Linked DNA regions of Daphnia pulex. The protein of the gene in region 1 interacts with the protein of each later gene in a pairwise test. Links are inferred from orthologs where the notes say so. Each region holds a gene or a part of one and is shown on either strand. Other genes may lie near its edges. The genes, in order: transcription elongation factor SPT5-like and putative peptidyl-prolyl cis-trans isomerase dodo.

What was found.
Region 2: the proteins of transcription elongation factor SPT5-like (region 1) and putative peptidyl-prolyl cis-trans isomerase dodo interact in binary tests that used the Homo sapiens proteins (3 or more experiments, as listed by UniProt). The link is inferred for Daphnia pulex from reciprocal best matches to the Homo sapiens genes SUPT5H and PIN1.

Annotation. Positions count from the first base shown.
Region 1 is NC_060017.1:4,110,490-4,123,067, forward strand, and holds transcription elongation factor SPT5-like, read left to right. Parts: upstream 1-6,611; 5' UTR 6,612-6,800; coding exon 6,801-6,866; intron 6,867-6,922; coding exon 6,923-7,317; intron 7,318-7,388; coding exon 7,389-7,526; intron 7,527-7,587; coding exon 7,588-8,287; intron 8,288-8,368; coding exon 8,369-8,827; intron 8,828-8,888; coding exon 8,889-9,422; intron 9,423-9,493; coding exon 9,494-10,279; intron 10,280-10,357; coding exon 10,358-10,618; 3' UTR 10,619-10,815; downstream 10,816-12,578. Other genes in the region: uncharacterized protein LOC124194259, read right to left, coding at 38-112, 176-244, 314-405, 558-975; sentrin-specific protease 6-like, read right to left, coding at 2,777-3,145, 3,214-3,484, 3,585-3,721, 3,811-4,141, 4,210-4,338, 4,411-4,559, 4,668-5,347, 5,438-5,873 and 2 more; dnaJ homolog subfamily B member 9-like, read right to left, coding at 10,905-11,057, 11,131-11,366, 11,446-11,595, 11,760-11,880; zinc finger CCCH domain-containing protein 4-like, read left to right, coding at 12,438-12,517. UniProt on the Homo sapiens protein: Component of the DRB sensitivity-inducing factor complex (DSIF complex), which regulates mRNA processing and transcription elongation by RNA polymerase II.
Region 2 is NC_060017.1:4,459,115-4,470,100, reverse strand, and holds putative peptidyl-prolyl cis-trans isomerase dodo, read left to right. Parts: upstream 1-5,509; 5' UTR 5,510-5,674; coding exon 5,675-5,726; intron 5,727-5,813; coding exon 5,814-5,908; intron 5,909-5,982; coding exon 5,983-6,312; 3' UTR 6,313-6,407; downstream 6,408-10,986. Other genes in the region: protein obstructor-E-like, read left to right, coding at 1-63; tudor domain-containing protein 7A-like, read left to right, coding at 1,761-1,891, 1,955-2,049, 2,111-2,373, 2,438-3,173, 3,244-3,433, 3,499-3,724, 3,788-3,881, 3,944-4,472 and 4 more; glutamine synthetase-like, read right to left, coding at 6,800-6,948, 7,008-7,147, 7,217-7,416, 7,504-7,940, 8,201-8,375. UniProt on the Homo sapiens protein: Peptidyl-prolyl cis/trans isomerase (PPIase) that binds to and isomerizes specific phosphorylated Ser/Thr-Pro (pSer/Thr-Pro) motifs.

The DNA.
Region 1 (12,578 bases):
TGAGACCATATAAGAATTCGGCTATAGGATGGACACTTTAGCGAGGGACACCTCGCTGTCGGTTTTCGTCGCTGTTAAGCCGTTGGCTTACGCTCAAAAGATGAGTTTCAACCTTTTAAAAAACGAAAAGACAAATTTAATTATCTGTGCAAAGCGATCAATCCAAGTAACTTACCACACGATAAAAGAGGCAGGAGACCGGAAGTTCGTCCTCGCCATTCGGGCAGTGACGCACACCGTCACACTACAATCGCGAAAGTGCACATGAGTATTATTCATTCGAAGAAAACTATAATGAATCAAAGCGTCCTACTAGTTGGAAGTCGTCGATGCAACGCCAATTGCCATTTCGGTCTGGCGTGGGACAATAAAATTCGGGTTGGCCGTCCTTCGCCGTTGGGCATTCTATACAAACAATGCGGATAATAAATCAACGACAGATCATTCATAAAACTTAAAACTGTCTGAGTAGATACCAGATAATCTGTGCATATACCATCAACTCGGTTCGGTCGACATTACAAAAGAAATTACGAAAGACATGATATAAGACTTACGGCCCGATCTGGCGAGGTACCGATACTGATAGAGCGGATCGAGATGAATAGGGAAGCGTTTGGTTCGACGTAATCCGCTACTGGTGGTGCCACGAATTTTCATTCGTGTTCTCTTGACTTGTTTCTTTTCTGTCGGCAGATCGTTATCGTTGCCGCAACACGACGGCGACTCTTGGTGCTGCTGTGGCATCAGCATCAGCACCGGATCCGGCGTTTTCGAACTGCTGCTAATCGATGGGCTAATGAACGGCTCCAGCATTTCCGAATCTGAAACAGGTATCGATGAGTCGAGTTTGACATTCAAAGAAGAAGAAGCAATACTGCTGCTGCTGCTGCTGCTACTCTGACAACACAATTCCATAGGCAGGCTCAGGGCGGAAGGCAGAATAGCCACTAGTACGAAAACTTTCCAATCCATCGCTCCTGATGCTGTGAGATGATGGTTTCCGCCTTTGGTTTGATAAGTGATGTTGCTGCTGATGCGACAACTCAAATGATTTTGACACCTTTTGAAAAAATACGGAGCTATAAAACTGTTGCAATCCCGGTGCGAGCAGCCAGAGAGTGATTCCTTGTCTTTCTATGGCTGTCTCTTTTATAGGATTATAGATGCTGCTGGAGAGGAAGCAGCAAGACATAAAGAAAGGCTCTCCTCTCGTCCATATCCCGATCCTACGCGCAGTCTCCATAATCCATGCAGATTAGACTCTGTCAGCTTCATCACACCATCGCTCATAATATACTGTAAAGAAACTGAAAAGCCTCCCAAGTATCCAACAGCTGCATGAAAGGAGGTGAAAGCCAAAATTGTGCCAACTGGTTTTGCAAGGTGCACATTATCATTTGGGACCCTCAATGTCGGCAATTCAATTGCGGCATGGAAGCCTTTAAGAATTCATTTCCCTTGAAACGGTTTTTTAATTATTACATCGAATTGTTATTTGGATATTAATCATTGCGTTTAATTTTACCTACTAATCAATCTGTTAAGTCAACCTATTTCATGTATACATTTGTAAAAGTGTAGAGTTTCAATATGAACGTATAACAACTAAATAGGTGGATTCTGCGTGATATTTTTTCTTGGCAAAACCGTGTATTCAACCAATACGCGTTTGGACTGCTTCCATGATTACAGTATATCACTTTATATTTGGAAAATAATGGTCACATATGCATCTGAATAACACCAGTTGAAGGAAAGGCATCTTTAGGAAGAAAAGAATATTTCGCTAGAATCGCCAACACAACATAATGGAAAAGAACATTGATGGAATACAGCACGGTCCCTCTGCTCAGGACTTCCCCCTGGCTTCCATCGGCAGTTCGACTGGCTGCTCATGAATGAGATACGTCCATTATTCATGCTGTTAGCATATTATCCATCTATCCATTAGCTAGAAGAACCACTTTCCTCCCCCCACCCGTACAAGTACAATAAATGTAAGCTACACATTGAATTAATGATTTGACAGTAGCTTTTTCGAGACTAAATTAGATTTAGATCTTACGCGTGAATCGATGTCAACTTCAATCGCCGCCTTTTCAATTGAAACGGGATGATTTGGTTGCGCATCCCACTCCAGAGTTGATTTACAGACAAAAAAAAACCCAGTGACAATTAAGCCACTTTCGTTAGCCGCCGACATGTCATCGACATTCGTACAAGCAGATCGTCTTATTCGAGCCTTTCCTTTCATGTTCTCAACAAAGGCCTTCCGGTTGTACCTACATCCAATTAGACATCAATGAGCTCACGTGCCTGTGACATACCAAGGAAAAGGTGGAATATATATGCCATCTTATAGGCCCAGTTCTATTACCAACGTGTGCAGTTTTCATAAAGCGATTATCGATCTTTTCATTCGGAATATAACGGTGACGGCTGAAAGATCACATGCGGAATGGAATGGATACCAAGGGAAAACAAACAAAAGATTTCCGTAGAATAGCCAAGAGTATCAATACCGATTCTGAAAACTACCGAGCCTAACATTCTCTTCGCTACCTTTTATGTCCGGTGGCAATTAATTTCATGGCTGATGAACGATAGCTAGAGCACGACTTTGATATTCTGATTCTGACGATGTGTTTGACGTCACGTTTTTGAACAAACTTTGAAACCTTTCACGTTGGTAACCAGTTTTTTCTCGCAGTCGAAACATTTTTTTTTTAGTTTAGGAGAACGACAAACCGATAACAAAAAAGAAAAAAAAAATCTATTTCTCCATTTCATTATTCGCCTCTTGGTCATACACGATATTTGATGGGCTGGCTCCCTTTTCAACCTTTTCTTTATCGAGACACACCTCAGATTTGCCGTCTTCCTCCATCGCCTCCGTCTTATTTTCACTATGAATTTCACCATTTTCTTTATTTGTAGCGGCCGCAGTCTTATTACGGTCTTGAAGTGCAATTCTGACGTCATCTCGAGGTAACAATGTCAGAACTTGGTCTGCTGAAGGATTCGTTTCCTTGGTGAGCCGTATCAATAAGAACTGGATGTTTTTTCTTTTCCTTCCGGCAATATGAGGTGGAAACCAATTGCTTAGTTTTATATTCCGTAAATTATAATCCAGAAATGGACTCTGAATTGATGAAATAAAAACATTAATTCAGCAAAATAAAAAAATTAAATAAAAAATTTTTAACTTACCATCATAAAGTATTCTGCGTATTGAAGCACAAATATCCCGCAATCGTACGAGTTATTTTGTTGAGGCACATCAAGGCATGCCGATATCATCGAGTCTTTAGTAAAGGGGTTGGTTGACGGTTTAACGGCGTCCCTTCTGAAAGCAACAATTGATTTCTCATTTGGCTTCATTTTCTTTACTTGGTGTTCCACCATTAAATACTCGCGAAGAGTCGTAGCAACTCGATTGTGTGCGCTTCCCGCCAATGAATCAAAAAATAAGATGCAAGGCCTAGAATACAAGAATAAAACATAAGAATGTCGCATGAAAAACACTACACTAAAGGCAAACTGTAAAGCATTATTAAAAGACAAAAATGAATTTGAATTACTGTTTGATAGGACCAGCAATCTCTGGCAATTTTTCTACTGGAGTGCGGTCGATTGCACATGATAATTCTTCTTCGTCGCTCTCAGCTTCGTCTCTTTCTGTGTCAACATTCAACGTAATCTGGTCATCTTTGGTCGACTAAAGAACGGATAAGAACAAGCAAACAGAACAAATTGGTTCGTTTATCATGTCGACTCGTTTAAACTAATAAAGGCAGACATCAATACCTTTGAATTTGAGTTAACAGGCGTAACTGTGGTATTTCCTATGTGAAACGATTCACCGTTCACGGCCACAAATGACCTCTGTAAGTCGGCGGTTGTTTTCTTGGAGTATGTTTGTTGGGGGCGAAGTTTGATGGGTTGATTGTCTATGGCGGTCACCGGTCCTGATAACCAAGGAAAACAGACAATGGCTAGAAACCAATGGTTACGCTCGTTGATGGGTATCACGAGATAATCCTTTTCAAAAATGTCCACTTTCTTTGTCCACGATTTAACTCTCGAATGACGTTTCTCCTTTATCGAAAGGGAATCGTCATCTTCAATTGGATGTTTCCTGCGTAAATTCATCTCTAGAGTAATTACACTTCAAAATGGTTGTTGTAATAGATTAAGAGCTTGTACCGTCCATTGACTTTGGGTGGGCGAGTCGTTAACCTTTGGTAGAAAAACGATGAAAATACGTGGCATTTCTTCTTCAGACTTTCATCAATTTTAGTACTGAAAACGTATCGAAGATAAAAGTCGATGATACTGCAAAAGAAAAACAAAGCAAATAGTTAAAGGTAATTACAGAAAAAGACAACGGTGCAATGCCAAATTTACCTGTCATTTAGTAGATTGTCCTGATTTAAACAAGCATAATCTTCAGTGGTTACTGAGAAGCGGTCGGGTCCATCCGACCAGGAAAACATTGGAGTCACTGGCAAAACAGTTCTTGCGAGAGATTTACTGGATCCCCTGGTTATTCGTATCTAGAAGAGAATGAAGACTGATTTTAGGCACAAATTCGGCTTTCAACTATACGAAGTACACACTTAACCAATAGCGTAGTTATTGGTATTAGCATTACGACTACTTACTTCAACTTTGCTAGTGTCGTCTTTGCCACCATTCAGTTGCGTTTCAGTTGTCGAAACACTCGTTTCTGCTGATACAGCAGTGGTCGCGGGGAGACGTTTAAGCGCATCACGAACTTCTGGGGGTGAGGAAATAACCAAGAGCCGGTTGGCCTCGGCCTGATTAATTTCGTTGTAAACACCTTGAGGAACGAAGACTTGTTTGATTGCGTTCTTCGCTGCATCGTCCAACCCATCGGGCAGCAGTGTCAATCGTTTTTTATTTTCGTCTTCGCTAGCAGAATCCCAATATGGGCCACTTTTGGGTAACCCTAATTTTGTTGAAAGCTGGCGACACCAGCTTGGACCAACATTTAGGAAGATGACTTGAAGCTTTCGGCTGAAAAAAGCGTCCACTTTTAATAGTTGCTGACTTGGGATAGCTACATTGACGCAAACAGCATTTTTTTCTGATGGCCCATCGTGGTTGTGAAAAACTGGAGCTTGCAGCATAATTCCTTCGGATGAGAATAACACACGTCCCACTGGAGTAATCTTATATGATCCAATACGAACAGATCGGCAGTTTACGGCAAAGAAAGGTCCATTCAATCCACCTTCTTTCCAACGGAGCAAATCACTAGATCCAATTTCCTCTTCTGCATCAATAGGCAAATCCATTGAGACACCATTTAAAGGTTCACCTAGAAGAAAAACAAAGAATTTAAAAGAAACAAAAAGTAAGATAAATTAATAAGAAAAACCAGCAGAGGAAATAAATGTGTTTAACTAACATTCTTTAATATTTGGCTGTTCTTGAATCACAATTGAAGGTTTAACATCCAATTTTTCAGTTGATTTGTCGGTACCATCACATTTGAGTTTTTTGGTTTCCTGAAAGGAGTCATCATCTTCATCGCTACTCAGTGTTACACACTGTGGCTCCTCAAATTTGGCTCTACTCTGTCTTGAAGGTTGAGCATTTTGAGTCCGAGTGCGTCGGTAGCCATATGATGAATCATTTGACATCTGAGAGATTCCGGATGATTTGTTTCCAGGTAATGACTTAAGATTTGAAGTGAGAGGTACCGTTTTTTCTTTTTCAAAGACGCGCATGCACCTCATACATTTATTAGTGGAAACCAAATGTCCACAGTGGGGGCAATTAGCACTATCTGGATCTGGTGATTGCCCACTGCATTTCTCTTCTGAATTTGTCTCTTGTTTACCCTGTACAAAAACACAGTTTACTTGTAATAGAAAATGTAAAAAAAGAAACAAAAACTTACTGTGATCCCAAGTTTCTGAGTGGATTTTTGATTGATCACTTTGTGACCAACCTGTTTTCTGTATTCTTGAAGTGTTATCTTCTTGATGCCCTTACTATTTGAGTTATGTTTCAGTAGTTTCGGTTGAATGTTTTCAGAAACTAAAACAGCCTTAATCTCCGGTACCGAAACTGACCGCTGGTTTGAATTGACACTAAGTTCGGACTTGGAACTCGATTCCCCCATACTAATTATAAAATCTCAACCATCTGGACTGAATATCAACAGTTCTACGTCAGTATGATTTCATCCTGATTTACCTGTCACATGTGCTATCCGAAAAGTACATTTACCTATGAAGGCTATGATATATGACTTCGTTAGATCTGTGCAGTACCAGCAGTATTGACTGTCGTCTCATGTGCTCTCCCGTTTCAACTAAACTAAACCAGGTAGGCCAAGTAACGACAAAATACTTAGTGGCAAGTGGCGCTATGGTACCCCAAACAATATATTTGAATTGAATAATTATTTCAGAAATGAATGATATAAAACTACATAAGATAATTAATTTCCTTAAATTTATTGAATTTTAAAATGGATAACTTTGAAAAGCCATAGGCCTATTTTACATTTAATGAAAACATTTGCGAAATACTTTCGAATCAAAGGATAGATGGCGTGTAAAGACTCCCAAACTTGTTTATCCATGCATTGCAAAATTTCCTCTGGTGAGTGACGCAGATGAATTCAATTTAGGAACAACATAGTTGGAAAGAAAGAACAATTTACCTGTTTTCTATCTCATTGAAACGTTGTAGCATTGTTTGGTTTAAGGTGCAATCGTTGTTTTTCTTCTTCAAAAAAGTATTCAGCAAGCAATTAAAACATGTCGGACAGCGAAGATAGTAATTTTTCCGATAGGAAGGAAGCCCTCAGTGATGCTGAAAGTTCGGTATGGTTTACACATTTCCATTTTACTTGACGAAATCTAACCTTTAAATTTTGAAGGATAATGACTCTGGTGGCCGTAGTCACAAAGCAGTAAACAAGAAATCTCTGAAAAAAGACAAATCCAAAAAGAAAAAGAAAAGGGATAAAGGTGCAAAAAAAAGTAAACGCCATAGAGGCAGTGATTCAGAAGAAGAAGAAGATGACGAAGAAGTTGAAGAGGAAGAAGAAGATGAAGATGAAGAAGAAGTTAATGGAGGAAGAAGAAAGCGAAAGAAGAGTGATAGATTTGGTGGTTTTATTCTGGAGGAAGCAGAAGTCGATGATGAGGTTGAAGATGAAGAAGAATGGGAAGATGGAGCTGAGAACTATGGTCTGGTAGGAAACGAAGTTGACGAAATGGGGCCCACAGCGAGAGAAATTGATGGGAGACGCAGACAACAGCAAATGTGGGAGTAAGTTGTAGATAAACACAAGCTTTAACACATTTTATCCAAAGTATTAACAATACATTTTCTCTCTACAGTAGTTCAAAAGAAGAGGAAGTAGAGGAATATTTTCGAAAGAAATATGCAGATGAAGCTACTGTTACTAGACACTTTGGAGATGGTGGTGAAGATATGACTGATGAAATTACCCAGCAAACTTTGCTACCTGGAGTCAAGTACTGTATTTAATATTTTTTTTTTTTTAAGGAAAGAGTTAACTTACAATTCTTATTTCAGAGATCCAAATCTGTGGATGGTCAAGTGCAGATTGGGAGAAGAGAAGCAAACAGTATTTCAACTGATGAGAAAATTCATTGCTTACCAATTCACAGAAGAACCATTGCAAATCAAATCAATTGTGTCTCCTGAAGGCGTCAAGGGATATATCTATGTTGAAGCTTTCAAACAAACCCACGTTAAGCAGGCGATTGACGGTATCGGTAGCCTTCGCATGGGTCTCTATGCCCAGCAGATGGTCCCAATCAAGGAAATGACCGATGTTCTACGAGTTGTAAAAGAACAGAGTGTAATGAAGCCCAAATCATGGGTTCGTCTGAAGCGAGGCATATTCAAGGATGATATTGCCCAAGTTGATTATGTGGATGTAGCTCAAAATCAGGTTCATCTAAAATTGATCCCACGAATTGACTATAGCAGGCCACGTGGAGCTCTACGAACTGCTCAATCTGATGCAGAAGCAAAGAAAAAACGCAAAATTCGTCCACCGTTAAAACTGTTTGATCTGGAAGCTATCAGAGCAGTCGGCGGAGAAGTTACAAGTGATGGCGATTTCCTTATTTTTGAGGGGAACCGATACTCCCGTAAAGGTTTTCTTTACAAAAATTTTTCTATGACCGCGATCCTTGCCGATGGTGTTAAACCTACATTGATTGAACTCGAGCGTTTTGAAGAGGCTGTAGAAGGGGTTGACATGGCCGTAAGTGTTATTCCAATTGTTTTTTATTTTTAATATTTAGGTCCTTTTCTGTCGTTAACTCATAATATAATTCTTATCTAGGTTCGAATTGTATCGGGTAAAGAAGAAGCAACCCATAATTTTGCTACAGGAGACGCTGTCGAAGTTTGTGAAGGTGAACTTATTCATCTCCGTGGAAAAATTGTGGCCATTGATGGCAATAAAATCACGGTCATGCCGAGACACGAAGATCTCAAGGACCCCTTGGAGTTTCAGGCTCACGAGTTGAAAAAGTATTTCTCGATGGGTGACCATGTTCGCGTCATTGCCGGCCGCTACGAAAACGATACAGGACTCATTGTTCGTGTTGAGGACAACATGGTTGTACTCTTTTCAGATCTTACAATGCATGAACTTAAAGTTTTGCCCAGAGACCTACAGTTGTGCTCTGACATGGCAACAGGAGTCGACTCCATGGGCCAGTACCAGTGGGGTGATCTGGTTCAACTTGACGCCCAGTCTGTTGGTGTTATCGTTCGATTGGAGCGGGAAAATTTCCAAGTATGTCTTGAACGATTCTCACACTTTCAGAGATCTAACTCTTGTTTTTTTATTTCATTAGGTTCTAAATATGCACGGAAAAGTTGTAGCAGTCCGACCGCAAGCTCTACAACGTCGTAAAGAGAATCGCCAAGCCGTAGCGTTGGATTCCGAGCAAAACACCATACAACGAAAGGATATTGTTAAAGTGATCGATGGACCTCATTCTGGTCGTCAAGGAGAAATCCGTCATCTTTATCGCAACTTCGCGTTCCTTCACTCCCGAATGATGCTTGAGAATGGTGGCATATTCGTTTGTAAAACTCGCCATCTTGTATTGGCCGGCGGTAGTAAAGGTGCTGCTTCAGGTTCACCAGCAGTATCGAGTTTGGGCTACATGTCACCCAGAATTTCTTCACCCATGCACCCGAGCGGAGGAGGAGGCGGGGGAGGGGGAGGAGGTGGAAGAGGCGGTGGACGTGGAGGAGGAGGTGGTCGTGGAGGTGGGGGTGGTGGATTTGGACGAGGTGGAAGAATTGGGCGAGATCGAGATTTGATTGGAAAGACCATTAAAGTTACACAAGGTCCATACAAAGGTCACATCGGAATTGTCAAGGTAAATTTTTGAAAACGTGTTTTTTCCCCTCTAGGAAAAGAATAAAGCATCTTCTTTTTTCATCCTTTCAGGACGCAACAGATTCAACAGCCCGCGTCGAATTACATTCTAAATGTCAAACAGTATCCGTTGACCGAACTCGAATTGCCGTTGTTGGAGGACCCTCCAAATCTGGCGCTGTTTCTACGTACAGCCAAACTCCTGCTTCACAGGCTGAAGGCCGTGATACACCCATGTATGCTTCTGGATCTCGTACTCCGATGTATGGATCACAAACTCCACTGTACGATGGTTCACGTACTCCTCACTATGGTGGTATGACACCTTCTCATGATGGATCCCGTACACCTGGACAATCCGGAGCTTGGGATCCAACCGTTACCAATACACCTGCTCGATCGACCGACTATGGAGATTTGGACAATTGGGATGATCAGTCTCCTTCGCCAGCCTATAACCCGGCGACTCCTGGGTCAGCCTACCATGTTGACACTCCACAAGGACCCTACACCCCTCACACACCAGGAACATCCTACGGTTCAGATCACACTTATTCACCCTACCAGCCCAGTCCGAGTCCGGCACCTTATCAAGCCTCACCGAGTCCATCCGGTTATGCTCCGACTCCTAGCCCAAGTACTGGGTTGCCATTCCATCCATCACCTGGAATGGCTTCAAGTTATACATCGCCATCTCCCATGAGTTATAGCCCTATGACTCCGGGTGTAGCTCCGTCACCTCTCAATCCTCAGACACCAGGGGCCGGAATGGATTCGTTGTCTTCTCAGGACTGGTATACCACCGACATAGAAGTACGTTTCAAGGATTCGCATAGTGATGCGGGACTCTCGGGACAGGTAATATTATTGATACTTCATATTAATTCATTTTCTTTTTCACTTAATAAATTAATATTTTTTAATGTGTAATTTTAGAGTGGTATCATCCGTGGCATATCTGGTGGTATGTGCTCTCTTTTCTTACCGGCCGAGGATCGAGTTGTAACAGTTGCTGGGGAGTTGTTAGAGCCCATCGTGCCAAGTCGGCGAGATCGAGTCAAAATCATTTTGGGAGAAGAAAGAGAAAGCTGTGGCCAGTTGCTTTCTATCGACCACCAAGAAGGCGTTGTTAAACTAGAATCTGGCGACGTTCGAATGTTCCAGCTGCGGTACCTTTGCAAGATGACGGCACGATAAAATGACCAGTTGCGTATTTGCGGGCCCCGACTTTACTTGGAACAAACAAACAAAATTCTTCACTTTCATTTGGGCTAGAAATTCACTGTAGCTTTGATGAGTTATATTGACGAGGGAACTTCAGAATGAAATGCCAATCGTTTTCATGTAACTGCTTGAAATAGTACGGATGAATACATGAAGTTTTCGAATACGGATAATAAGCAGTTTCCCATACATTCACATTGATTTTTAAACTCGAAAATTAAAAAAAACGGATAACAACGTAATTTATTTATAACAAAATTTATGAGCATTGCGTATAGGTAGTAACAACATTTCCGATCTTTTGAGTAACTGTTTTACATCCTGTCCCCTGATGTAAATCATCTGTGAAACCAAACATGGAATCCATATTATCAAATTGCATATCCATTCCACCAAACATATCATCATCATCCTATATAAATTTTAAAAAAGAAACATTTGGTAAGTTAGAATAAAAATATTTTGCTTAGTTTAATAAAACTTGCATTAAAAATGTTGCCAAAATTGAACATTGAGTCTGCTTTCTTTTGATGCTTTTTGTTGGTTGGAGAATGAAACTTGTGATGGAAGTCTCCAAAATGCTGATCAAACTGCATCATAAAATCATCGAAATTGAAGTTGTAAGCAAACTTTGAATGTTGATTCCCATTGTTTCTTGTGCCCTCTGCACCAAAATCATCATATTGTTTCCTTTTCTTGGGGTTGGAGAGTATTTCATAAGCTGTAAAATACATAGCAACAACAGAAATGAAATCTTAGTTTGTTAATTTTGAGGCCAAAAAATGCAAAACAAATGTTACCTTCAGCAATATCTCTAAACTTTTCTTCAAATGCTGGATTTTTGTCAGGGTGATATTTCAGGGCAAGTTTGCGAAAAGCTTTCTTGATTTCCCTTTCTGTTGCCTTGCTATCAACTCCTAGAATATCGTAGTAATTGCTGCCACCGATAGCTTCGATTGAATGTTTGGAAATATGTACAAGAAGAATAACAAACGAAGTTATGCAAATGAGTTTTCTCATGATCACTCAACAAAAGGAACAAGAAAACAAGGAACTCAACAAGGAAAAATGGAGATATCACTGCGAAAATGATAACGTGGATTATTTTGCGTACCTCGAAAGTTCTTATAGTCGAAATTGACTACGTATTTTTTAAATGTTTTTTTATTTATGAGTTGGAATGTGTTCATTCGTCTAGAAGATTGAAGATGCTCCTCCCCTTTATTGCGCAACATCACCTTATCCTTGGGCACATTAGCCGATTAACTATTACACTTCTCTAGGTTAGGTATATTATAAAATTTTGAATAGCTGAATTTCAGGAATAATTATTTAACAACACGATTAAAATAACTTAGATATTTTGTTATTAATTTTGTATTAAACGCAAGGGTGCGTTTTGGAAATGCATGTGTTGATGAACGGGCGATAGATGTCTCCCTCAAGCTTCTTTTCCGACGCATCAAGACAAGGAATTCTCAATCTGCGACGACTACCAGACGACGGTAGGCGATGAAATGCATCGTCCTGAAATCTGAAGCCAATTGCGTTCTTCTCGACTAAAATGGACAAAAATTGAATTCATCTTCCAACGCTAACTTTTCTGTTGTTGAAGAAAAGACGAAGGAAAACGGAACTTAACAGGAGCGTGTGTCGAACCACGCGGAAAGCATCATCACAACTCCCCAGTGCTCTCGAGAGAAACCCCAGGGCTTGCTCAATCGACTAGTCTCTGGCTAGACTTGCTTGCTCTTTGTGCCAGCGCCATTTTGATGTGCGCTGTCACCAAGTCATGGCTCTGCATGGTGTGTTTGCCAATGACCTCCAATTCGGCAAAGGCGTCGATTCTGATCAAGCTCAAGATGATGAAAGGTTTGAGTATATTCCTATCCTACCCTCCCTTCTCTGCCCTTCCACTTGCTTTCCAAACATC
Region 2 (10,986 bases), about 350 kb from region 1:
AACCCAGCTCTCGAAGCCTGTGATTGGCCAGCCAATGTCAACTGCAATTTGCCTGGATTTTAGAAAATTGGTGAGAACAATTTATGTGAAAGAGTCGTATAAAATACTATCACCTACTAAACTTCCTCTCGATGTATTTACAACGTTTATTTTAAAAGACACACTTATATCTTACATATTATGCGAATCATTAGTTAATACAAGTTACGTAATGATGTAAAAAAACATTATTTACGTTGAAAGCAGCAGTTAAGAATTATATAGTCAACCTAGGTTACGAAGAGATAAGTAAAGGTGAACTCTTGGAAGATTTATATAATCGCTTAAATGTTATTTCTCTAAAAGTTCCATCTTTAAGAATATCATAGCTGATGTCTTACAACTGTCAATTTTCCTAACAGCAGTAATCATTTTAATACCAGAAAAGCTGCAGCATTTTCATTTTGGTGTTGGAACTACTAGGAAATGGTTTCCAATCTGAAAGTGAAAACTTAGTATTAGACTATTTATTTCAAATTTAAAGTTTTAACCTACAAAACCTTCATCAAAGTCAGTACACAAGGAATGTTCTCTGTGTTTAGTCTCTTGGTATCATAAGGATCATCTGAGAGCTCCACATCAGGTTGATATCCGTCCATGGTTGCTATTTTAATAGATGGAATTTGTGTTGCAAAAAAAGAGCCGATTTCTCAGCCAATGACACTGCATCATAAGAGTCCCCTCCACATTCAAGAATCTATTTTAATGCCATTAAAATGTTTCATGAGAATTTGTTGATTGGTGGAAATATCACATCAGCTATACCAATATGTCAACATACAAGACCCAACATTGCTGTCGACTGTCGTGTCAATAAAGAAAGTTGTCACCCCATACTTTCGAGTCAAACTCGCGCGTAGGTTTTTAATTTTTTGGGCGGATTCATTTCGGTTAGCAATTTTTTTTCCCGTTCATATTGTTATGAGGCTTTTTTTTATCCCTACAAAACGATTAATCGAACAAAAACATCGAACCCAAAGCTAAAAAGACACCAACTCCGCAAAAAAAAACCCTATCGGGAAACTCGCGCGCGAAGCAAGGGATCGGCATACAAGTTACGTAATGATGTAAAAAAACATTATTTACGTTGAAAGCAGCAGTTAAGATTTTGATTTAAAAAAAAATAAATCGGTACAAATTAATAGTAGAATTTCCCCCAAGCCTAAACACTTTCAAGTTGTCTCGAAGCGTCTCGAAAGCTTGAGAGAAAAAAGTGTCGCCCAGTTCGCCACTCGCTAGTGGAGTTTTATCGAGGAGGAAACTCACTAAACAAATAATAACCCACGTAGGTTCTAGTAGAAAATTTAATTAAGGAATAATGTCTGAAATGAAATGACTCAAATGAGATTACTTTTTTGGAATTTCCCCTCCATGCAACAGGAAATGAAGTCAAAGGCAACGCTGCTGAATTGTGCAAAACAAAAGAAAAACAAAGGTCCTACGCAACGCAATGTGCTTTTAACACAGCATTCGATACCATCTCGTCGCAAATTTCGTTTCCTATTAGAAAACGTGGCCTCTTGGCCTAGATTCACTGTTTTTCTCTTTTAATTTCTGACCATTAAAATATTGATGTAAATTTTGTACCGTTTCTCATCGTTTTAGTTCGCTGACTTCCGTTTTAATTTCGAGAACTTTTGGTATGAGAAATTGTGAGATTTGTCTTATGTGAGTTATTTTAGTATTTTTACTTCAATGATTGAATATGGTATAGGCAGAAAATGAACTTGGGTTTAAAAGAAGAAGTGAAAGTAGTGGTGAATTCCCTACTAGTTCCACATTCACGAGGCTTGACTTTGGACAAGCTATTGAATGAGTATGCCAATGTTGAAATGAAAGAATTTCCATACAAGTTAGTATAAATACACTTCTACTTTGTTGAATAAATCTAGTTAACACAGTTTATCTTTTAAAGGCAACTTGGACACAATAACCCAGCTGATTTCTTAGCTTCTATTCCTGATGTAGTGAAATTTACTAGATTACCAAGTGGACATGTTCTTCTCCAAGGTAATAGTTTAAAATCCATTCATAACCTGCTCGAATTATTAATTTTTTCCATCTTTACCAGCTATTTCTAATTCAAAAACTGGTCACATTCAAGAATTAGTCAAAGGCCAGAAGAATAGTCAAACTGCTAGTTTTAAAAACTATAACAGAATAACTCAATACAACAATCACTATCAACCTCCTGCCAGACGATATCCCAATCATACAATGCAGGGCAATAGGAATCGCTTCCAACCAACACAATTTTCGGCACCTCCACGAAGAATGACTCAATCCTATTCTAACATGGCAGGCAACACAAATGGCAAACCAATGGCTTCACAAGTACAAAGTTTGCTAACTTAATTTTTAAAAAAAAGCTAAATAAATTTTTCTATTTTTATTTAAGGTTGTACATATAAATGCAAATTCATTGATGGCTGAAATAACATCATCCCGAACATGTTCAAGTGTTGAATATGAGTCTCAACTGGTGTCTGAATTTAAAAATCTTTTTCAGTCTTATCCTGATGGAATTGACATTGCTCATGTCTTTGCCCTCTATTCGAATAAGTTCAAGAAAGAAGTGTCTCTTCAAAATATTGAGCCGAACTTGACTTCTTTTGCCTTCTTCCAACGACATAGTAACGTGTTTAGATTGTGGAAGCGTTCAGACAACACTTTGGTGGGTCTTGCAGGAAATGAGACACTACGACCAAGTCAACTAGAAACAGCAATTCCGTCACCACATGCAGATCGAGGGAGTCTAACTGGAGCAGTGCCCAAGATGCACACTCCAAATAATGCAGCTTATTCAAATGGTCAATCTCCTACGAATAGAGCGACTCCAAAGTTTCAATCACCGACTACTGCAGTCCCTGTTCAATTCACATCTCCGACTAACGTAGCTGCCACAACACAGTCGGAAGATACAATGTATCGTACAACGAATGGACATCTTGTTCAAACTCAGTGGACCGCGTTGGATATTCGCACGCGCATTCCCGGGACTAAGCCTTTACAAACAGTGATAGTTGGTGGCAGAGATTCTGAAGAAAATCTTGCTCACCTCGTGCCACCGAAACTTGTACCCGTTCCTTGGCACGCCCCGCCTCGCGCCGACGAAGTTTTGCCCGATACGTTTGGTATATTTTATTACTTTGATAATTATTTGACAAGTTTGATTTCACATTTATCTCTTTTTCGTTTACACAGGTGTACGTAAACCCAAGATCAAACACGTTTATGAAGTTGACATCCCAGTGGGACGTCAGGCATTCCCTGGAAATTTAGCCGATTTCGACTATTTCTTTCTGATTGTTGCGGAGGTCTATTCTCCAGGCGAATTCTATTGGTTCTTGAGCGAGAACAGAAAGCCCATTGAAGATCTTACAGATGACATGACGTAACTTAAAAATCATAAAATATGACTGCGGCCTGGAAATTTGACTTTTTACATTTGAAATTCAGGTTGTTTTACAGCAGTAACCCTGAGTATGTCATATCCCGGACTGAGATGTACATTGGCCAGCTAGTTGCTGCCATGTACACTGACAATCTCTGGTACAGGGCTCGAATCGTTGGATGCCATGAAGAATATTTCCAGGTTTTTTATGTTGACTATGGTAGTAAAAACTTCGTGAAGCTGGACAGGATCCGTCATCTCCATCTCCATTTTTTGAAAATGCCTCTGCAGGTAATTTTGTCTTCAAAAAATGGTTCGTTTGTGTTGCATTTAAATTTCCCTGTTATATTCCAGGCTTTCCGAGGTCGAATTTTTGGCATCCAGCCGTTACAACACGAGACTAAGTGGTCATTTGAATCAGGGAAATGTTTTTTGGATCTCATTAAAGGTGATTTCATTAAACTGTGTATTCATATAGACAGCTCATACTTATTATTATAAATTACTTAGGGTGTAAGATTATTGCTGCTGCAAAGATGGTTGAAGAGACCTTAGAGATACCAGAGTATGAAATCGACACAGTCTACTCTTTGACTTTGGTTGATACAACAAAGGAGAAAGACATCCACGTCAGTGATTATTTGATTGAAAGTGGATTTGTTTCGCCTTGCGAAGAGGAACAAATTGCTGTTGCCTCCGCAAATTCTGTTTATGAATATTCCACGCCGTCGCCTCCAGCTGAACACACCGGTAGAGCGCCTTCACCAAATCCAACTGAACACACCGGTAGAGCGCCTTCACCAAATCCAACTTGCGCGTTTCCCTCATCGGCAGTAAATTCAGTTACAAGCCAGATGCAGACAACAAGCATTTCGATTACGACACCGACCCTGATTTCAAATAACGAACATCTTGATTTCGAGAATCCATCAATAGACGAAGAGGTATTCAATGAAAGAATTTCTTCGAATATCCAGCCTGAAGAAAACGTGATTGCCTCGGTGAATGAACCCCTTCCAGTCTTAGCATCTGAAAGAAGGTAAAGAAGCTTATTTTTTTTTAAATACTTAAACTTGATTTCAAACTCCATTATTTCGATTGTTTGCAGTTTGGAGGCGAATGAGTCAAAATGCGTCGATGTAATAGGTAAATCCCCATTGAACTATTTCGCTGTTTTTGTATTTTTTTGAAATTTCATAATTCTATATTGGATTTAAATGTCATCAGTTTTGAAAGACGAACGAAGGCTATATACAGTAGAAGATGGTGGTGAATTGTATCTTCCTAAGCCGGACATCTTAATGCTCATCCCGAGTCTGGATAGTCAAATTGCCGCCTTTAAAGCAAAGATCGACTGCAAAGTAGTCACTGCCGAAACGCATCCAAATATCTTTGCCGATTGCGCGAAGTAAATATCTTTAGCCATAATTTTACATGATTTAAAAGAAATTCATCTGATTTCGTCTTATAGGGCTGGGGCACCTTGGATGAAAGATGATTCCTTATCTGAACTCACTCTTTATTCACTGCAATATGTTTCTCTACTGTTCTTCTTGTGTTCGGTGAAAGATAAGGTTGCCTCTTCAGCTATTGAGGTAATTTATTGCATCTAAGTTATCAAATAATTAATAAAGCATGTATTAACATCATTCTTTGATGTTTGTAGGCAAAGCGAAAAGAATTCAGCAATAAGTAAATAAGCACATTTTTCTTTTTATGATTTTCATTGAGTGCTCAAGTTTGAGCAATTAATTACCTTCCAATTCTTTATTTTATCTGATAAACAAGTATTTAAACCAGGAAAAATCAGTTTTTATAAAATTGAATCAAAACTGTCATTGAACAAAACATACTGTCCTAATTTTGTAATTTACTTGTATTGTTTACTTTCCGTGCAACAATAATACAGAATGTAAAAAATGAAAAATTTATGAATTAAAGATGAAAATTTTCTGTAAACTAAAACGTCTTTTGTAAATTCAAATTGTATTGTAAAATCAAGTTCAAATTTGAAATTTATGTTAATGAAGAAGTGCAAGTGCTGCCACCTAGAGATATGCTACCTAGTTACCTACAGTATCTCCTTCTCTGGACTGTTCTTTGCTGTCAAAGTCAAATCAAGCCGACAACTTTGTCGTAGTTTGAAAACCATACATACTATTGTCGCTATTTTATATTTAATATAATTCGTCGTGTGCACATTTCGCAAAGTCTCTATACTCAGTCAACACCACCATCAAAATGTCTGAAGAATTGCCACCTGGTTGGGAGAAACGTGTAAGCCGATCGTCAGGTAATATAGTCATCTTCTTTAATGCAATTAGTAGCTGGAAACTATTGTGATTTTCGCTTTTATTTATTCACTTTGTATTGATTGCAGGAACAAGTTACTACTTGAATATCTACACCAAAGAGAGTCAATGGGATGCTCCAACTAAACCAGCAGAGCGTGCTTCATCAAACGGCCCAGAAAAGGTTTGTTTTTATAAATAATTCTCTATTACTGTCATCAAACCAAATTGTAAACTAAAAGTGTATCTCTTAATCAGGTTCAATGCAGTCATCTTCTTGTCAAACACAGGGATTCTCGTAGACCATCATCATGGCGGCAAGACAACATCACCATATCTAAAGAAGAGGCTATGGATTTGCTAGTTGTTTATCAAGAGCAGATTGTTAATGGTGAAGCTTCGTTTGCTGAATTGGCCTCAAAATACTCAGACTGCAGTTCAGCCAAGAAAGGTGGAGATCTTGGTAGTTTTGGTAGAGGAGCAATGCAGAAACCGTTTGAAGATGCTGCTTTTAGCTTAAAAGTTGGTGGAATGAGTGAACCTGTGTGGACTGATTCAGGAGTTCATATTATTCTTCGCACTGCTTGAATTACATTTTTCTTTTAATTCTCTTTTTACTAGAAATTTTGGATGTTTTCGTCTATTGCATACCATACCCTTATACAACATTATTATTGCAAGTATAAATTTGTTTTTTACAATTTCTTCAACTAATTTAAGAAAACACATCAAGGGTTCAGAGTTTAGATTATCTAAAAATTTTTGTATTTACCTGACATTAAGTTTGGTAACACATACTGCATATTTCATGTTTGCTTACTGATGAATTTCAAAATTGCCAATCGATCAGATTATTTACACAAATCGATAACGTCACATAGGATTAAAAAGGGAACGACCACAGAATGAGAATATTAAAATTAGAGGGGTCAGATTACAATTTGGCGATAATCGATAGAACGTGGTAGTTTTTTTTGTTGTTGTTGTTTTATTTTTGCGCCTTCGGGACATAGAAGGAATGGATGGTTTACTCTTCTTTATGTGAAAAATGGGACCTAAAAAATATCAGGATAGTCTATTGTTCGAGACAAGTGGTGCGGACAACCACTTCGGTCACTTGATATGGATCAGAGTTGGAAGCCGGACGGCGATCTTCCAAGTAACCTTTGCGTTCTTCAGCCACTCCACGAGGCACGCGAATACTGCAACCGCGGTTAGCCACACCTGAAAAAGAATTTAAAATTTAAAAACTGAATTTAATTCAATCTCTCCATTTGACATACCGGCAGAGAAATCGTGAATGGACGAAGTTTCACAACGGCCGGTAAGACGTCGCTCATTGTCTTTGCCTTCATGGGGATCGTAGGCTTTGATGTGTTTCACATGGCAGCGAGACAATTTTTCAATCGCTTTTTCAATCTCTCTGTAAATTGGAAATGCCAGTTTGAAAATCAATAATTCATCATTCATTTTGTTTTTCTCTAAAACTTACGCAATGCCGTTCTCTTCTCGCATGGCTTTGGTGGAGAAGTTGCAATGAGCTCCAGCTCCGTTCCATTCACCTTTCATCGGTTTAGGATCCAGGGAAACATTGACGCCGAAATCCTCAGCGACGCGATGCAAAATGTAACGGGCCATCCACAAATCATCGCCCATTGTAATACCTTCGCAAGGACCAACTTGGAATTCCCACTGTAACAAAACAACAACAACAAGATTACGATATTGCCCTGACGTAATCTCCTGTTATCTTTTCAAGGATTTCAAATTTTTTTTTACCTGAGCGGGCATAACTTCAGCGTTGGTCCCCGAAATATTGACCCCGGCGTAAAGAGCAGCACGATAATGAGCTTCGACAATATCTCGTCCGAAAACTTTGTTGGCTCCTACACCGCAATAGTACGGTCCCTGAGGTCCGGGGAAGCCATTCTTGGGCCAGCCGAAAGGGTGGAGATCATTATCTAACAGAGTGTATTCTTGCTCAATGCCAAACCATGGCTCGTATTCGGCAGCCGAATTCATGGCTTCAAGGCAAGAGTTGCGATGGTTTGACTCGGTGGGTCTCTTGTTGTACTTGTAGGTGTCGCAGAGGACGAGCCTGTTGTTGCCCAAACAGAAAGGATCGCGGTAGATGGCCACCGGGTAGAGATAAACATCCGAATTGCTGCCTTCGGCCTGATATGTTGAACTTCCGTCATAGTTCCAAATTGGCAATTCTAAACAAAAGAAAAACGAAACAAACAAAACATTGAAGAATGGTTGGCCAGCGGCTAGAAATCTAAAAGATGCAAAAATGTTTCTAGTCGTAACCGGATTTGGAACCTTGTTTTTCTCATTCACCAAGGCCATTATAGTCCGAAACATTCATTAGTTATGCGAAGGAGCGTGCCAAATGCTCATAAATGGAAAAGAGGGCGTCTCCGACAGAGCGACAAAACAAATAATAGGAAGTTTTTCTTTTGTGTCAATTATTTACCCGATGGAGTCTTTGGGATGAAATCGATGGTTCTCGTCTTTGCTCGGACGTATTCGCCCGTGCCGTCGATCCAGACATACGTAGCCATGACTTTGTCGTCTGGCTGCGGGAGTCTCATGTAGCGATCCAGCACGGCTTTGTTGGTAGCGGACGCGTTAGTCATTAGACCTGCCATTTTTTTCTTTTGTGTTTCTGGGTTGTGAAGATTCTCCAAAAATTTCCAATCAAAGTCTTACACGTATCAACGATTCCCTGTTAAAATTTAAAAAATAAAACATTTAATTATTATTTGATATTTTCGTAGAGATAATCATCTGTCCCTGACTCATATGACTAAAAGGGACTATGTGGTCGACGGGTCATCCAACAAAAATAAATTGCGTTGTTGCTTTTATTTTCTTTGTCTCCATGCCAAAAATGTTGTTGTTGTGTTGTTGTGCTGCTGGTTATGTAAGATAGGCAAAGAGCAACCGAGAGAAAGGAAATTAAGCTGCTGGAGGTTTCTAGCTGGCTGGCTGGATCAATTTAAAAAAACCGCTCCGAACTGGATCGACGAAGCGATGTGAACCAGTCGGAACTGGATTCAGCACACACAAAGGAGACGGGAGGGGGGCACCGTGCAAGGATTTTCCTTGCACGACAGCGCAAGCGCACAGAGAATACCCCTACACATACGGGAGAGACTCATCATGGCAACAACCCAAAAACGTTCGGGATTTCCGCACGCAATGAACTCGCTCGTCCCCCCACAATCGTTAGATATTTTTCGAGTTTTCGCTTTTTGTTTTTTCACGCCAGTATGGGCTAGTGAAATTGCGCAATCTCTTCGGCAGATAAAAATGAGGCCGAGCAAAAATTTAAAAATGAAAAAAAAAAAATTCGTTCGGATGGCCAAAAAGGGGGGGATTACCACCAATCTCACTTGTTGACGACAAGGAATAGAAAAAGGATCGTGATATCACGTGATCTCCGTTTGACCCACTTTTCCCTGGTTCGCGCCTCAGCAACAACTTACTTTCAGTTTCGTAAACAACATGAAATATTTTATTATTTTTCAAGCCTTGTTAATCTGATAAAATCAACTCCAGACAAAAGGGTGGGGTTCCAAAAATATTCTAAGAAATCAATTAAGGGACGAAGGTCGCTTGGGGTGGAGTCGATAAAATACGCCCATGGAGCCTACATGACCTCGCTCGACCTTGACCCCCATCAAAATTTACAACAACCAAACAAATAGGAGTGGTCCACAAAAATTACATAAATGTCAAACCAGTTGCTAAGTGATGAAACCCAAATAAAAATCAGTCAGTCGTACCCGAATTGTTCTAAAGTTGCGGTCTCGAGTGGTGGTGTCCGCCTCTTGGTGGTGTGGACTCTTCTCGTTAGAAGAAGGTAGTGGATTGAGCTGCTAGTCGAACGAACGGCAGATTTTATAGACGAGTGAGAGAGAGAGGGGGGCCCCTCCTTGTCGTTTGAGACACCGAAAAGAATGACCGAGTGAAAGGCTATTGGTTCTCAAACTGGGATGTACCCCCACCATAAAGGAATAAAACGCACCGTGCACAAGAAATGCAGATGGAGTCGTTCAAAAAAACCTCCTCCTGCCTCCCCCCCACCACTCTGCGCACATACACACACAAAAAGAAACAAGAAAGCTGGCGCTATGAGGTAATGTGCCATTCTATACTCGGCGTCAAGCCCAACTCGAATCCATAACAAACATATGAAGCAAGAACCGTGAGGGACTTTTTCCGTAGGGCAGTGTAGACACGACAGCGTGTATTCTTTGTGTGTAGTTTGCTTCACGTTCCCTCTCTAAAAAAGACTAGGGACCAATGGCAATCGGCATCGCACGTGATACCCTACTGATCACACTGTTCCCCTTTGGCTTTGGAGATATTATTTTTATTTATTTTGTTTTACAACTTAGTTTAACTTCATGGGTTTTTTAATAATGCTCACGGTCAAACGGTCTACATTTTGGGTTTCAAATTTGCTCTTAAATTTCACGCCGTTGTTTGTTGTTGACAGCCAAATCAACCGGCCATCAAACAGTATGACGTAGTGCGTGTAATACAAGGACTTTATAAAGATATAGATGTAATGGGTTTATTGGGAAAAATTCACCTTTGATCGAGTCAGTTGGTTGTTTACAAGTTGGGATTGATATCAATTCAGGGCATTGGAGATGAAAATAACAGAAAACAATAGCTTTCATAACCTTTGATCGTTGAACAATAATTAGTCGAGTTAAAAACAAGTGACGTCACTGAAAAATCTATTAGTACATGGCCTTGTTTTTTTATATTATTGATGGTCACCTGTCCGTCACATTACAGTTACGTATTATAATCAGTCTGTGTGATTTTGTATCGATCGCGTCTAGCCCCCCTCCAAGGACATAAACTTTAAACATTTTGTCTGAGCGACAAAGTTTGCTCAATCCAAAGTGTCTGGATTGTTAAAACTATACGTCGGTTCATTTGTTGATAATAATTCGAAAAACGGCCTCGAGTGGATTGAAAACTGTAATGTATTTCTTTGTGTTGTAGCACGGCCGAATCACGTGAATTCATAAAAGAAACGGTTCTTTAGAAAAAAAGAAAATTACATCCAAATAAGGACATGCCAAGTTTCTGTCCTTGGTTGAAACAAAAACATTTTCTATCCGTACCGCTTGTTATACGATGTAATAATTGCGTATAAGAAAAATAGATCCTCCGAGGAAGATGAGAGAGTAGGTCGATACATAACCAAGGTCAAGGGTTTCCGGCCTCTAGTTATAA